Anolis sagrei: one gene and its partner. The protein of the gene in region 1 interacts with the protein of each later gene in a pairwise test. Links are inferred from orthologs where the notes say so. Each region holds a gene or a part of one and is shown on either strand. Other genes may lie near its edges.

What was found.
Region 2: the proteins of TCEANC (region 1) and SSNA1 interact in binary tests that used the Homo sapiens proteins (3 or more experiments, as listed by UniProt). The two-hybrid records come from large-scale screens. The link is inferred for Anolis sagrei from reciprocal best matches to the Homo sapiens genes TCEANC and SSNA1.

The regions. Positions count from the first base shown.
Region 1 is NC_090023.1:91,729,330-91,737,992, reverse strand, and holds TCEANC (transcription elongation factor A N-terminal and central domain-containing protein), read left to right. Parts: upstream 1-5,170; 5' UTR 5,171-5,259; intron 5,260-5,595; exon of another isoform or gene 5,596-5,681; intron 5,682-5,878; 5' UTR 5,879-5,940; coding exon 5,941-6,094; intron 6,095-7,348; coding exon 7,349-8,409; 3' UTR 8,410-8,486; downstream 8,487-8,663.
Region 2 is NC_090031.1:15,870,277-15,878,034, reverse strand, and holds the start of SSNA1 (microtubule nucleation factor SSNA1), read right to left. Parts: upstream 3,001-7,758; 5' UTR 2,951-3,000; coding exon 2,899-2,950; intron 1-2,898. Other genes in the region: ANAPC2 (anaphase-promoting complex subunit 2), read left to right, coding at 3,074-3,139, 5,047-5,690. UniProt on the Homo sapiens protein: Microtubule-binding protein which stabilizes dynamic microtubules by slowing growth and shrinkage at both plus and minus ends and serves as a sensor of microtubule damage, protecting microtubules from the microtubule-severing enzyme SPAST.

The DNA.
Region 1 (8,663 bases):
AAAGCAGCATAACTGTTTCTGAAACTAGCCATGCAATCATTTCATGTAACACTACATATATAACACTATACACTCAACAGAAGTGGCCGAGTTCTCTTATGAGCAATACTGGGAATGTTGCTATGCCATAATGATGTGTAGGAGGAAGACAATATGCAACCTTTATAGTACATAAATGAGAAAAATATAAAATGTGCATTGACATAGCAGAAGAATATGAAACAGCAGGATATTAAGTCAATGTATGTACTTTAAAATGGTGATAACAATGTATAGAACACATAATATTCCTAATGAGCTTTTTCTTCACAACTCTTCACAACTGGCACTTCTTCATTAATATTTTCCTCATTTTATCAGATTACCTTTGAGGCAGAACGTGGGAAAGGCACAACTGGAGAAATCGGAATGGATACCGTAATACTATTTTCTGGCTTGTGTCCTGAAGACCACCTTGCATTAGATATTTGAATTTATGGATTTCATTGCTATTATATTATTTGTTGTACTAATAAATATTTTGTATTGTTGTTATCTAGATGAAATACCAATCTAGAAACAATATCTTGAACCTCAAATCAGTCAGATAACACATTTGTATATATAGTATGCTAAACTTTGTTTTGTATGTTGCTTTATTTTGTTATAGCAGGGTCTTACAGAATGTGAAAATATTTCTCTAGCTCTTCTTGCAATAAATGTGCTTTATTGTATACAACATTCCCTTTGAAGAAAAAATCTATTTTTAATTCTATCTCATTCACTTACAACAGTGGTTCCCAACCTTTTTTTGACCAGGGACCACTCTGACCCGGGATCACTCTCCAACATTAGTACCAAAAGGGTTACAAATCAGTTTGTGGTTAACTTTAGATTTGGTTTGGTTATTTGGGGTGCGATTCATAAAATTTCATTGGATAGACCACATCTCCTCTAGTTTCTGATACAGAACATATGTCATCCAGTATTTGCCATGTGCTTGCCCACAGAAAACCATTTTTAATAATCTGGAGCTGATGTGGTCTATCTAAGGAGGGGTGGGGCTGGTCAGCGACAGGGAAGGAGTGGCAGGCTGCGCAAAAGGATTGGAAATAAGTTCAATAAAATCAATCAATCAATCAATCAATCAATAAATAAATAAATAAAGAGAAAGGAACCTCGCAGACCAGATTTTTGTCATCACTGCCCACTGGATGGTCCGTGGCCCACAGGTTAATAACCACTGACCTACAAGAATATGAAGCAATATCTTTGAAAGAATGTTTTATTTCAAGCAACATATAGGGTACAGTGGAGTAAATGTAATTGTATAGAGCCATGGTAAGGAACTGCAAATGGGCTGGGTGTTCAATCCACATCTTCTACCCATACATAGTTTTCCCCCCATATCACCAATTCATGCCCATGTTTTTGTTGAGATTCCTCTCATCATTGCAATAAATTTTCATACTATGTTTGCCAGAGGTACTTTTTACATAATAGCATTCTCTCACATTGCTGGATCAGGCTGTTTCTCTGTCTTGTTGTAATAAGAGAAATGAAGAACATAATCCAAAGGGGAATCAGCATATTTAAGACCCTGAAATCAATGGACGTAAATGTATAACTTATATGTGCCTATATGCAAGAAAACATATGTTTGGTTCCATCTCTCTTGTGTGCATTTTTGCTTAAGTTATTCATATTTCACTATGGGGAGAAAGTGTATTCTGCGTGTCAAAATATGAAAAATGTGAATTGCCTTTTGTCCTCCCATTATTCTTTCTTCTAATCTGTAGACACAAAATGTTCTTACAAAGAAGCACTGTAATTAATCCTCCTCACAAGCGTCCATAGTTAACAGAATACATGAAACAGATATTTCTGTGCTGAATGATGTGTCCAAGTTCTATTGTTTTTGGGACTTATTCAAGTTTTAAAAATAAATAACAAGATGTATCTTCAAATGTTTAATATTAAATCTGATGACAGATATGTACTAAAAATTAGAAAAAAACATTTCCAAAAGCAGTGTGATCTGTATAAGTTACGAATTGTAAACTTGAAAGAAGTTATTTTGAAAACACATACTATTTGTGCTCTGTGTGCATTGCATACTGTTTTTCATTAGAATTAAGCTTGTATTGTAACTGAAAAGACAAGAAAAAGTTACAAAAATGTTGGTGTTGAACAAGTATTTTCTTGTGCTAGTGAAATGGGGAATATAAAATTAGAACACATAATCTTCATTTGCTGGGTTGTTGTAGGTTTTTCAGGCTATATGGCCATGTTCTAGAAGCATTCTCTCCTGATGTTTCACCTGCATCTATGGCAAGCATCCTCAGAGCATCTTTAACCCTATCTTTAATCCTCTTTTGCTATCCACCGACATTCTGTTTTTTGTTCTTGAGTTGAGAGTAAAGCAACTGCTTTGGGAGACGGTGATCAGGCATTCGGACAATGTGGCCAGATCAGTGAAGTTGCTGGCGGAGTATCATCACTTCAATATTGGTCGTCTTTGCTTCTTCCAGAACGCTGATGTTAGTCTGCCTGTCTTCCCTAGAGACTTGTAAAACTACACCTATGAGATACTAGGATTGTCTAGTCGAGTACTACTCAAAAGTGGTGGTCGACAATGACCACCAGGGAAAAAAGAATTGCTCCACACAGGAAAAAAAGAATTGCCAATTTCTCACATCACAGATTGGCAATTTTAAGAAGTACTGATCTGTTTTAGTTACATGTGGAAATCTGCCGAGGAATCTTAACACAATCACATTCCATTTCAAAATGAAAAGATTTTTGTAAAGAAAGGTGAATGGAGAAATCAAAATAATAAGTTCTCTCCAAATACTTTAGGACTTACTTTAAACCAAATTAATATAAACTCAGCTAGATTCCATGACACAAGTCAGGAAAGGAACAAATCATCAAGTTGGAGGTTTTTCCTTTACATCTAGCTTCACTTTTTTTTCAATACAGCGAGTCAAGTTAAATGTTCCTCTCTACTAAAAAGTCAGTCCCAAATGGCATTCCTTACAGAGCACAGATAGGCCTAATGCCTTCTGGCTGAGTGGGAGCCAGTGGGAGCATACATAGTAGTGTGGAATAGCTGTGATCTAAATCTGATCAAAGTACATTAATACGGGATATAATGTTTAATACACCCAATGGTGCCCTCTTCTGGTTTGTTAAGGTTTAATGCAGAAGCACGAGGAACTTTCAACTTGTTTTGGGCCCCTTCCACTCAGCCATATAACCCGGAATATCAAGGGAGATAATCCACAATACCTACATTGAACTGGATTATCTAAGTCCACGCTGCCACATAATCCAGTTCAATGTGGAAGCTGAGCATTGGTGGAGGTTTCTTTCTTTTTTGCAGCATCCTTACAGATACCACAGCAGGGTACAGATATAGTTAGAATAATAAAATCTAATTGACACTGAATAAACTGGGAACATAAAAATGAAAAATGAGCACCCAACCCAATAGCTTAGAGACGAGAGGTGAAGAAGGCACACAAGAGAAATGTTTAAATATTTGAAAGGACATCATATTGTTAGCTGCTGCTTTGGAGACTAGGACACAATGGAGCGGTGGATTCAAATTGCAGGAAAAGAAGTTCCACCTAAACATTAGGAAGAACTTTCTGACAGTCAGAGGAGCTTTTTTGGCAGTGGATGTATGGCACCTGGGATTTAATGGCAGTCCCCCATCCAAGGACTAACCAGGACTGACCCTGCTTAGCTTCCAAGGATACGATTTCATTGTAGAATTGGCTCAATCCTATGGAATCGTGGCTGTTGTAATTTTAAAAGGTTTTTAGCCTTCTCTGCCAAAGAGCGCTTTAGCCTTGTCAAACTACAGCTCCCAAGATTTCCCGAGCATTAAGCCATAGCGGTTAAAGTGGTTTCAGGCCACATTGTTTGTACACTGTAGATAAGTGTTTATCAGAAGAGGTCATGAGGAGGTGTCAGAGGGGTCGCCAAAGACCATCAGAAAACAGTATTTTCTGTTGGTCATGGGGGCTCTGTGTGGGAAGTTTGGACCAATTGGTGGGGTTCAGAATGCTCTCTGATTGTAGGTGAACTATAAATCTCAGCAACAACTCCTAGATGTCAAGGTCTATTTTCCCCAAACTCTACCAGTGTTCACATTTGGGTATGTTGAGCATGTGTGCCAAGTTTGGTCCAGATCTATCATTGTTTGAGTTCACAGTGCTCTCTGGATGTAGGCGAGTTACAACTCCCAAACTCAAGGATAAAGGCCACCAAACCCTTCCAGTATTTTCTGTGGGTTCTGTGTGCCAAGTTTGGTTCAATTCCATCATTGGTAGAGTTCAGAATGCTTGTTGATTGTAGGTGAACTATAAATCTCAGCAACTACAATTCCCAAATGTCAAGGTCTATTTTCCCCATACTCTACTGGTGTTCACATTTGGGTATGTTGAGTATTTGTGCCAAGTTTGGTCCAGATCCATCGTTGTTTGAGTCCACAGTGCTCTCTCTGGATGTAGGAGAACTACAACTCCCAAACTGAAGGTCAAAGCCCACCCTGCTCTCCCTGCTCTCGCTCCCACCAGCGTCACAAATATGCCTGGTGGGGATGAGAGACAGGACCTTCTTGGCTGTAGCTCTCCACCTGTGGAACTCGCTTCCCAGCATTTTCTGTGGGTCATGGGAGTTCTGTGTGCCAAGTTTGGTTCGACTCCAGCATTGGTGGAGTTTGATTGTAGGTGAACTATATCTCCCAGCAACTACAAATCCCAAATGACAAAAATCAATCCTCCCCCAATCCCAAATTTGGGCATATCGGGTATTTGGGCCAAATTTGGTCCAGTGAGTGAAATTACACGCAGCATATCAGATATTTACATTACAATTCACAAGTTTGTAAAATGACAGTTATGAAGTAGCAACAACATTAATTTTATGGTTGGGGGTCACAACATGAGGAACTGCATTAAGGAGTGGCGGCATTAGGATGGTTGAGAAACACTGATGTAGATAAACTCACACCAAGGTTTCAAGGGCTTTTTATTTCCAAGTCAAAAGAGATATCAGATATTCTAAGAGATATCAGTACAATTGCTCTGACGCAATTGATAGCCCTCAGCAACAGCGGCTGCGCAAAGACACAGCCCACGCCGCGCATGCTCAGATTGCCCAACGAACCGCAAAGGTTCTTTCCAACTCACGCATGCGTGGTAGGAGCCCGAGCAGGAGAGGGGCGGGGCCACGGAGGGTGAGCTGAAAGGCCTCCTTAGGAAGGATAAGGTGAGCAGATGAGGAGGGATTTAATCATACCTTTCGGGGAAAAGTGACTTTGGGATCATATTTCGAATAATTATACATATCCTTGTTTATAAGAGATGAGTAAAATCCTCGTGTTCCCATCTGTTGTGGCCTCTTCCAGTTTTGTGATTCTATATGTGGAGTAGCCTTATTGACCATGAAACAAAATCCCAGATCCACTTTTATTAGGTCAGCCAGAAAGTGCAAAAATCATGATGTGCTAACTTTTGAACCACTCTGGCTCAACAATAGATGGATTAATAAGATTATGTAAAGACAGATGTTAGAGTTACAGGCCTACATTTTGCTTGTTTCGAGATGTTACAGAAATAGCAAGTTGTGCAGACAAATCCAGGCCCTGGGCCTCCCCTCCAAAAACAAAGCAACAAAAGTAATAAAGCAAGGTATTAAAACTACTATCCTCCAGCTGTTAATAGTGCCTTTGGGGACTCAGTAGTGCTTCCTATTATGTCCTCCCTTGAGACCCTATGTTTGGTACCAGCAGTCTTGGCTCCATATGACAAACAGCCTTTCATATGGTTTGGATCTCAAGAAACTCTGTCATATTGAAGTATTGAAGGATAATTAAGGTTTTCCACAGGTAACCTGTTATTATTTTGGTAGATGTGATTATGCTAACTCTGGCCCAGCTTACTTGTCTGAATGCATATTCCGCTACGTCCCGCCTTGCAGTTTAAGATCATCTGGGGAGACCCTGCTCTCGCTCCTGCCAGCGTCACAAATATGTCTGGTGGGGATGAGAGACAGGACCTTCTTGGCTGTAGCTCTCCACCTGTGGAACTCGCTTCCCAACGAGGTAAGATCAGTTTCATCCCTCCTGTCTTTTAGGAAGAAATTGAAGTCGTGGTTCTGGGACCAGGCTTTTGGACAGCAGGCATAAATAGCGCTTGGATATGGAATTTGACTGGAATGGTTATACGGCAGTTAATACTGTTTTTATTGTTTTAATTAATGTTCTATTATTGTTTAATTGTTGTTATATTGCTTTGTTATATTTAATGGCATCAAATTGTGCGAAATGTAAACTGTCCTGAGTCCCCCTTCGGGGGTTGAGAAGGACGGGGTAGAAATATTGGAAATAAATAAAATAAATAAATAATCCAGTGTTTCTCAACCTTCCTAATGCTGCAACCCCTTAATACAGTTCCTCATGTTGTGACCCCCTAACCATAAAATTATTTTTGATGCTACTTCATAACTGTAGTTTTGCTACTGTTATGAATCGTAATGTAAATATCTGATATCCTGATGTATTTTCATTTACTGGGCCACACTGGGCACACAAACCCCATACATCCAAATTTGAATACTGGTGGGGGTTTTTTTTGGGGGGGGGGAGTAGATTGATTTTGTCATTTGAGAGTTGTAGTTGCTGGGATTTATAGTTCATCCATTTCTTTTTACTTTGAACTACACTGTAATAAATTATCCGATTTACGTAGTCATTCTACATAGGGCTGCAACGTTACTCATTTTGTTTTATGCATTTAAAATAATTATTTCCTACTAGGACAAGGTCCCCTGGTGGCATAGCAGGTTAAACTGCTGAGCTACTGAACTTGTTGACCAAAAGTTCAGCAATTCGAATCTGGGGAGCAGGGTGAGCTCCTGCTGTTAGGCCCACCTTCTACCAACCTAGCAGTTCAAAAACATGCAAATGTGAGTAGATCAATACCTGCTTCTGCGGGAAGATAACGGTGCTCCATGCAGTCATGCTGGCCACATGACCTTGTCTACGGACAACACAGGTTCATCGGCTTAGAAATAGAAATGAGCACCCCCCCCCCCCCCAGAGTCAGACATGACTGAACTTAATATCAAGGGAAACCTTTACCTTTATCTTTTCTCCTAGGACATGACAATAAGCATCAAGAAAACATATGACATTCCAACAATACGTTGGTTGAATGTTGGATGAGACATTTATTGAAAATCCATCTATTCATCCAGAAAAATGATCTCAATTTGATTACATTTGTTGTGTCTGTATTAATATAGAGATGTATGTATAGTGCCTTCAGAGAAACATAATTCTTTCCATTTCTTTCAGGATTTGAAATGTCTAATACAAAAGTCCTCACATCTAGAGCTGACTGTATAGAGAAGCTACTGTCAGAAAGAAAATACCAAGATATTGGGATTCATCTTACATATCTTGAAACGATTGATATCACTATAGATGACTTGCAAGAGACTGATGTGGCCAAAGCTGTGTTCAGAGTCTTCAAGAATTGTCCCTCCGTGGTCCTGAAAAAGAAGGCAAAGCACTTGCTCTCAAAGTGGAAAGCAGTTTATAAAAAGCATTGCAGTCCATCAGTACAACTTCATTTGGGGTTATCTGAAAATGCAAATGAGGATTCAGATCATCTTCAAGTAGTCTCTGAAGATATAAACCCTTTGGGAAAATTGAACCAGCAGGAAAAATTGTGTCCTGCCAGTCCCAGTCTGGCATCAGAAAGCCCTTCAAGTAATGCTGGAAGTTGTGTGCAGAAAGATAATACAACGGAACCAGATCTGGGAAACGCCAATTCTATTAGTGAAACAGGCCAACAGTATAGTCCCATTGTGGCTGTGAGGGCGAAATGCACACAACTTCTTTATGAAGCATTGACTGATTCCTCAACAAGTAATGAAGAAATTGCAAAGCACCACAAAACAGCTGAAGAAATTGAACAACACATTTTTGCACTTCATGCTAACAATGATAAAAAGTACAAAAATTGCATCCGGAGCAAAGTTTCCAACTTGAAAAATCCAAAAAATTCTCACTTAAAACATAGCCTGCATATTGGAGTTCTCACTCCTCAGACATTTGCTAGTATGTCTGCAGTGGAAATGGCACATGATGAACTAAAGCAGCTTCGGGCTTCGTATACAAAATCAGCTGTTCAGGAACACCAGCTTCCCCAGAAGATCAATGGTACACTTACAAATAAAATAAAATGTCGGCGCTGTGAAAAATTTAATTGCACTGTGACTGTGATAGCCAGGGGAGCTCTTTTCCTTCCTGGTTGGGTACGAAGCACAGATCCAGATGAGCAAATGATGACCTACGTAATATGTAATGAATGTGGGGAACAGTGGTACCACAGCAGGTGGAATTGTTTATGATTGTATATCTTGTAATGATGATGTCTTCAGAGAATAATATATGGAATTATTAAAAGGCAATTAACTGAATAAGAAAATATGTTCAAGCTCTATTAATGTTTGTCATGAAATCCGAAAAAAATAAGATATGACAAAATAGTTACAAAACTACCAAAGGGAGTGGCCCAATGAGTCTATTATGTTTGGAATTATTAGATTTATGCAAGAATGTGACTCCGGTAGCCTTCTAGGATCTAAACAAACTCCGGGAGTTG
Region 2 (7,758 bases), on another chromosome or scaffold:
TGCTTCAAAAGAAGGTTGTGTCCACACTGCATGGAAGTGCCTTTCCAAGCTGTCCCCCCACCCTTTGGTTCCTCTAATTTTCATATTTTGCGTGTAATTGTTTCTCAATTTTCGGTTTGAGTTGTCCCTATTTACATGTCCGCATCCCCCTTTATGAACCCGTTTGGGCTTTAAGATAAGCTGGAGGGGGGCCTCCTCTCGATCCCATCCCCGTCGCAAGTGAGGTTGGTGGGAACGAGGGAAAAGGCCCTCTCAACAGAGCCCCGCTCCGGCTCTGGAGTGCTCTCCCCAAGGAGATCAGACAAGCAGCCACTCTCACGACTTTTAAGAATTATTTATTATTTATTTATTTCAAAGTTTTATATACCGAGCTTCTCACCTCATAAGAGGGACTCAGCCCGGTTTCCAACCATAAAAACACATACAATCGGTAAAATATCAAAATACACATTACAATAAAACATTTAAAAAGCACATATATTTAAAACTACAGTGGTCAGTCGTCATACTAAAATCGAATATACACCGTCTTCCATCCAGATCATTGTCTCATTCTTCGAAAGCCTGTCTCCATAACCACGACTTCGCCTGTTTCCTGAATGTCAGGATTGTTGGGGCGGTTCTAACCTCTGGCGGGAGAGAGTTCCAGAGTCGCGGGGCCACTACCGAGAAGGCCCTCGTTCCCACCAGCCGTGCTTGTGAGGCCGGTGGGGCCGAGAGCAGGGCCCCTCCAGACGATCTTAGTAATCTTGATGGTTCGTAGGGGGGAATATGTTCGGAGGACTTTGAAAGAAGGACTTTGAAAATGATTAGGTTAATACCTTTTAATTAACTGCTGCTCTGGGCCAGTGGAAGGGGGGGGGGCAGGAAGGCAGTTCCACCTTGTCTCCAGGCTATACTAATAATAGGTATAATATAATATAATAGTATATACATATATTTATAATATTACAATGTAATACAATATAATACTACTACTAATAATACAATATTAAAATTATATGTTTTATATTACATGTAATATTAATAATAATATTGCAATATAATGGTATAGTACAATATAGTAATATATAATACTGATATTGTACTATGCTAATAATATAATATATTGTATGTATATATATCTTGTAAGCCGCTCTGAGTCCCCTTCTGGGTGAGAAGGGCGGCATATAAATGTCGTAAAAAATAAATAAAGTGGACGAGGTCTTTGTTTTAGTGTTATGGATATATGCTGATTAGGATATTTTGGCTTGTATTTAACTTATTGGAACCACTGTGTTTTAATTTATTTTTTTACGGTTTATTGTTTAATTTGTCTATTTTTTTTGTTTTCCCTTTTTCGCTGATTTGTTATTTATTTTGTATATATTACTTATTGTATTTATTTATGCTGTAAGATAACCCGAATTCTTTTGGGGAGATGGGGTGGGATATAAATAAAGATTATTATTGTTGTTATTATATATCTAATCAATCAACCTATCATCTATGTATCTATCAATTCATCTATCTAATAAATCAATCTCATCTATCTAATCATCTCCTCTAGCTAATCCATCTATCAATCCAACTAATCAATCAATCAACCAATCTGTCTAATTTATCTAATCTATCTCTCTAATCTATCTGATCTATCTAATCTATCTATCAATCAATCTAATCTATCTATTATTCTATCTATCCATCTAATTTATCTATCGCTCTATCTTTCTGGTCTATCTGATCTATCTATCCAATCTATCAATCTAATCTACCTACCTACCTATCATTCTATCTATCTACATCAATCAATGACACTAATCTGTCTAATTAATCTGTCTATCTATCTGATCTAGCTATCTAATCTATCAATCTAATCTATCTATCCATCTAATTTATCTAATCTATCTCTCTATCTTTCTGGTCTATCTGATCTATCTATCCAATCTAATCTATCTACCTACCTACCTATCATTCTATCTATCTAATCCATCTATCAATGACACTAATCTGTCTAATTTATCTAATCTGTCTATCTGATCTAGCTATCTAGTTTTATCAATCTAATCTATCTACCTAATCCATCAATCAATCTAATTTGTCTAATGTATCTAAAAAATCTCTCTAACTGATCTATCAATCTAATCTATTGATCATTCTATCTAATCCATCTATCAATCAATCTAATCTGTCTAATTTATCTAATCTGTCTCTTTGATCTATCTATCCAATCTATCAAACTAATCTATCTACCTACCTATCATTCTATCTATTTAATCCATCTATTGATTAAACTAATCTGTCTAATTTATGTAATCTATCTCTCTAATCTATCTATCTCTCTGTCTATCTATCTATCTGATCAATCTATCAATCTACCTATCATTTTATCTATCTAATCCATGGATCGATCGATCAATCAATCAATCAATCAATCAATCAAATCTGTCTAATTTATCTAATCTGTTTCTCTAATCTATCTATCTAATCTACTCTATCACTCTATTTATCTAATCCATCTATCAATCAATTTAATTTATCTATCTAATGAAATCTATCTATCTGCCTTTGCCCTGTGTTGTGCCACCCGCCTCGAATTTCTATTGGAGGCGAAAGGAAGGCGGGGTCATGACGTCACTGGATAAACAAAGTGTTCGCGCTGTTCTAGGCCCCAAACTACATTTCCCAGGAGCCCACGCGGGAGAAGGGACGCCACAGTTGAAGCGTTTTCACCCCTTAATAGTGCGGAGGCACCCCAAACCCCTCTCCTTCCCTTTTCTCCCCACGTGTCCCCGCTTTCTGACTCCGAGCCCCGACCCGAAAAGGCCCCAAAGGTCTCTCTGCGACGCCGGCCACAGTAGGCCGCGTCTCCATAGCAACGCGAGGCCTACACTTCCGGCCGAAGCCTGAGCGACGCACATTTGACCAGCTCGTTGTTGTAGCTCTGCAGGGCGGCCCCTTGCTGGGTCATCCTCCGTCTCCGCGGGCTCGCCTTCCTTCCTTCCTCCCTCCCGCCGCGGAGAGCTCCGCCTCCTCTTCTCCGCTCAACGGCCGCCGCCTCAGAACGGAGCCCGCCTCCTCCGCCTCCGCCGGGATGGCCTTTCCCGCCGCCTGGCGCGCCCTCAGCACGGGCCTGGTCCCGCCCGCCGCCCTGGGCCTGGTACGAGCAGCCACGGGGGGAGCGGGGGTCACGTGTGAACTGGCCTCAGGTGACACGTGAAGGGTCGGGCAGGCATGGGCTCAAGTTTGCCCATGCCTGTTCTATAGTATGGAATATATTATGTTATGTTTTATTGTGTGGTATATAATACATTATATTGTATTTATTATTATATAGAATCATAGAGTTGGAAGACATCTCATGGGTCATGTATAGCAGTGGTTCCCAACCTGTGGTCCGTGGACCACTAGTGGTCCGCAAGACCTAAAATATGGTCCACAGCCTCACCATTACTACACTGTTGCAACGGGAGCAACTGGTCTCGCAAAACCCTCTAATAGTTCCGAGGCTAGTTAAATATGGTTTAAATATGTGAGCGAGCAGATGGCGACTACTGGATGCCGTATGTTCTGTATCAGAAACTAGAGCTGATGTGGTCTATCCAATACAATTTTCTGATTCAGCACCCCAGATAACCAAACTGAATCTAAAATTGACCAAAAACTGATTCGTAACCCTTTTGGTACTAATGTTGGAGAGTGCTACCTGGCCAAAGTAGTCTCTGGTCAAGAAAAGGTTGGGAACCACTGATATATATGGGTGTGTGTATGTATAACAAGACATATATGTGTGTTTGTTTGTCTATATGTATGTATAAAGTAAAGGTAAACGTTTCCCCTTGGCGTTAAGTCTAGTCATGTCCGATTCTGGGGAGTGGTGCTCATCTCAGTTTCTAAACCAAAGAACTGGCGTTGTCTGTAGATGCCTCCCAGATCGTGTGGTCAGCATGACTGCTGAAGCGGTACCTATTGATCTACTCACATTTGCATATTTTCTAACTGCTAGGTTAGCAGAAGCTAGAGCTAACAGCGGAGCTCACCTCGCTATTCGAACCACTTTTCGGTCAGCAAGTTCAGCAGTGCAGCCCATCTGCTGCACCAACATGGGCTGTAGCTGTCCTTTCTTCTTCCCACTCCTTTGTGAACTTTCTGTCTCTGACGGGGCATGTGCTGTTGTTATTGTTGTAGTTGTTAATAATGTTATACGTCCCGCTTTCTTCTCTTAACAAGACTCAGGGCCTTTCCACACAGTCATATAATCCAGAATATCAAGGCAGAATATTTATTTATTTATTTATTTATTTATGGCATTTTAATGCTGTCCTTCTCATCCCGAAGGGGACTCAGAGCGACTTACAAGTTACATACAATATATTATATTATTAGCATAGTATAATATCAGTATTAAATATTACTTTATTGTACTATACCATTATATTGTAATATTATTAGTAATATTACATATAATATAAATATATATTTATATTTATAATATTATATTATTATTAGTGGTAGTATTATATTGCATTACATTATAATATTATAAATATTATATGTATATACAATATATTATATTATATTATACTATTTTATATTATTAGCATAGCACAGGAGACAAGATGGAACTGTCCCATGCCCCCCCCCCTTCACTATGGCCCAGAGCAGCAGTTGTTGCGGGGGGGGGGGGGGGATCCCCAACTGATGACATATGCAGGAGACAAGATGGAACTGTCCCCTGGTCCCATCTCTCTTCACTCTGGTCCAGAGCAGCAGTTAGTGCTGGGGGAGGGGTTCCCAACTGATGACATATCTGATTTGAGCTGAAACATCAGAATCCACACTGACATATATCCCAGTTCAAAACAGATAATGTGGGATTTCATTTGGCTGTATGAATGAAAGGGGCCTCAAAGTGACTCAAAAGGCTATAAACAATACAAATGACCCTTTAAAACCTACAACAACATAGAATGGCTAAAAGAGATAGCAAGGGACGCCTCATGCCTTGCACCTCTGGCTCAGTCTTCAAAGCTTTCTCCATTAAGTCTGCCTCTTGTGGTTTCCCAGGCGCTGGTGCCAGAGTCGGAGCCGGCAGACATCCCATCGGAGCGGGACCTTCACGCAGCGGTAGAGGTGCTGAAGGCCCATGGCCTGCATTCAGCGCTGGAGGAGTGGTTCCTGGAGGTACTGCAGATGGATCTGCAGGCGCGCATCTCCCCCGAGTTTTGGAGCGGCGTGTCCCAGCACGAGAACACGGCCGAAGAGGCTCAGTGCTCCCTCCTGATCCTGGATGCTTTTTCCCTCCTCTGGCGCCGGCTGGAACCCTACCTGCGCAGCCTGACCATGATGGAGGGCTGGACACAGGAGGGCTTGCTCCTCGGGACGGGCGCCCAGCCGCTCAGGGCCAAGGTACACAGCCTGCTTCGGGCCGTCCTCTTCTTCAGCACCCCTCATAGCTTCGGGGAGATGGTTCGGCAGTTCTATGGCCGCAGCTTCAAGATTTACATGTGGCGGAAGAGGAGTCGGGAGCCCAGGATGTCCGAGGGGGAGAGCGGCATGAGTGAGGACCACCAGGCAGAAAGTGAGGAGGAGGAGGAGATCTTGGGAGAGCCTGCCAGAAAAGGAAGCCAGTGCGCCGGGTGCGGGTGTCAGAGGGAGCGCTGCTGGTGCGTAACAGCTGTGGAGCACTTCCAGCAACTCAACAGTATTCTGTAAGTACAATTGTCTGCTTTTGGGAGGGGGGTCTGATGATGGAGTGAAGGGGACTTAGGGATGAAAGGGGGCCTGGGGGTCCTCTTGTGAGATTTGACCTCCATGCTGCTCTTTCCTTCAGCTTTCCTAGTTGGTGGATAATTGTTAAGAAAATGGGGGAGCTGTTTTCTGACATGTCTGAAAGTCGCCAGAAGGGGAAGGTATGCTTGATAAAGGATCCAAGAGCAACAACTAGTCTCCCCAAGCATCAAATGGAAGGAATATTAACCATAATTCCCAGCCTGTATGTCCAGTTCTCTTTGCTTGTAGACTTCTGTGTTCTACACCCGTTCCTTCTTCCTTTCCATTTCTGATTGTCACCAGAAGGTTGTAGTTGTCCTCTAGTCATGCTTTGATACTGGGAGTCTTTAGGAGTCTTTTGTTGGGCAAGGGGGCTTATTAACAAAAGACCCTCCTCATAAATGTACAGGAGAAAAACTTATTAGCAGCAGTGTGACCCAGCACCAGTTGCCAAAAGTGACAAAAAGGAACAAAAACACACAGACCAATGTTTTCTCTTCCATAGGAGGGTTTTCTTTATAGCAAAATAATATGATTGCACTATTTATAAAAACAAGGTTTCCATAACACAACATTCAATCTTCACAGTGGAGCTTCACACTGTAGCTTTATACATGACAGCCTTCACGCTGGGTTTTTATTTATTTATTTATTTATTTATTTATTTATTTGCGACATTTATATGCCGCCCTTCTCACCCTGAAGGGGACTCAGAGCGGCTTACAAGGTATATATACATACAATATATTATTAGCATAGTACAATACCAGTTTTAAGTATTGCTATTTGTACTATATCAATTATACTGTAATATTATTAATAATATTACATGTAATATAAATATATAATTATAATATCATATTATTATTATTATTATTATTACTATTATATTGCATTACATTATCTGTATAAATAAAAATGTAATATTCGTTTGTGGGATTAACAGAACTCAAAAACCACTGGGGGAATTGACATCAAATTTGGACAACATACACCTAACAACCCAATGTATGTCCTTCACTAAAAAAAATGATTTTGTCATTTGGTAGTTGTAGTTGCTGGGATTTAGAGATCACCTACAATCAAATAACATTCTGAACCCACCAACGATGGAATTGAACCAAACATGGCACAGAGTTCTCCCATGACCAACAAAAAATACTGGAAGGGTTTGGTGGGCAGTGTCCTTTGGTTTTGGAGCTGTAGTTCACCTACATCCAGAGATCACTGTGGACTCAAACAATGATGGATCTGGACCAAACTCTACACAAATACTCAATATGCCCAAATGTGAACACTGGTGGACTTTGGGGAAAATAGAATCTTGACATTTGGAAGTTGTAGTTGCTGGGATTTATAGTTCACCTACAATCACAAAGCATTCTGAACCCCACCATCGATGGAATTGGGCCAAACCTCCCACACAGAGCCCCCATGTGGGCCACAGCAACACGTGGCAGGGGACGGCTAGTAATATTATAAATATTATATGTATATAAAAGGTAAAGGTAGTCCCCTGACATTAAGTCCAGTCATGTCTGACTCTGGGGTGTGGTTCTCATCTCCATTTCTAAGCCGAAGAGCCAGCGTTGTCTGTAGACACCTCCAAGGTCTGCATGGAGTGCCGTTACCTTCCCGCCAGAGCGGTACCTATTGATCTACTCACAGTTGCATGTTTTTGAACTGCTAGGTTGGCAGAAGCTAGGGCTGACAGTGGAAGCTCACGCCGCTCCTCGGAGTCGAACCTGCGACCTTTTGATCAACAAGCTCAGCAGCTCAGTGCTTTAACCCACTGTGCCACCGGGGGCTCCAATTATATGTATATACAATATATGTTATATTATATTATATTATATTATTACAATAGCACAGGAGACAAGGTGGAACTGTCCCCTGCCCCCCCCCTTCACTCTGGCCCAGAGCGGCAGTTGGTGCTTGGGGGGGAGGGGTCCCCAAGTGATGGCATATGCAGGAGACAAGATACACGAGGCCTTCAACCTGCGGTGT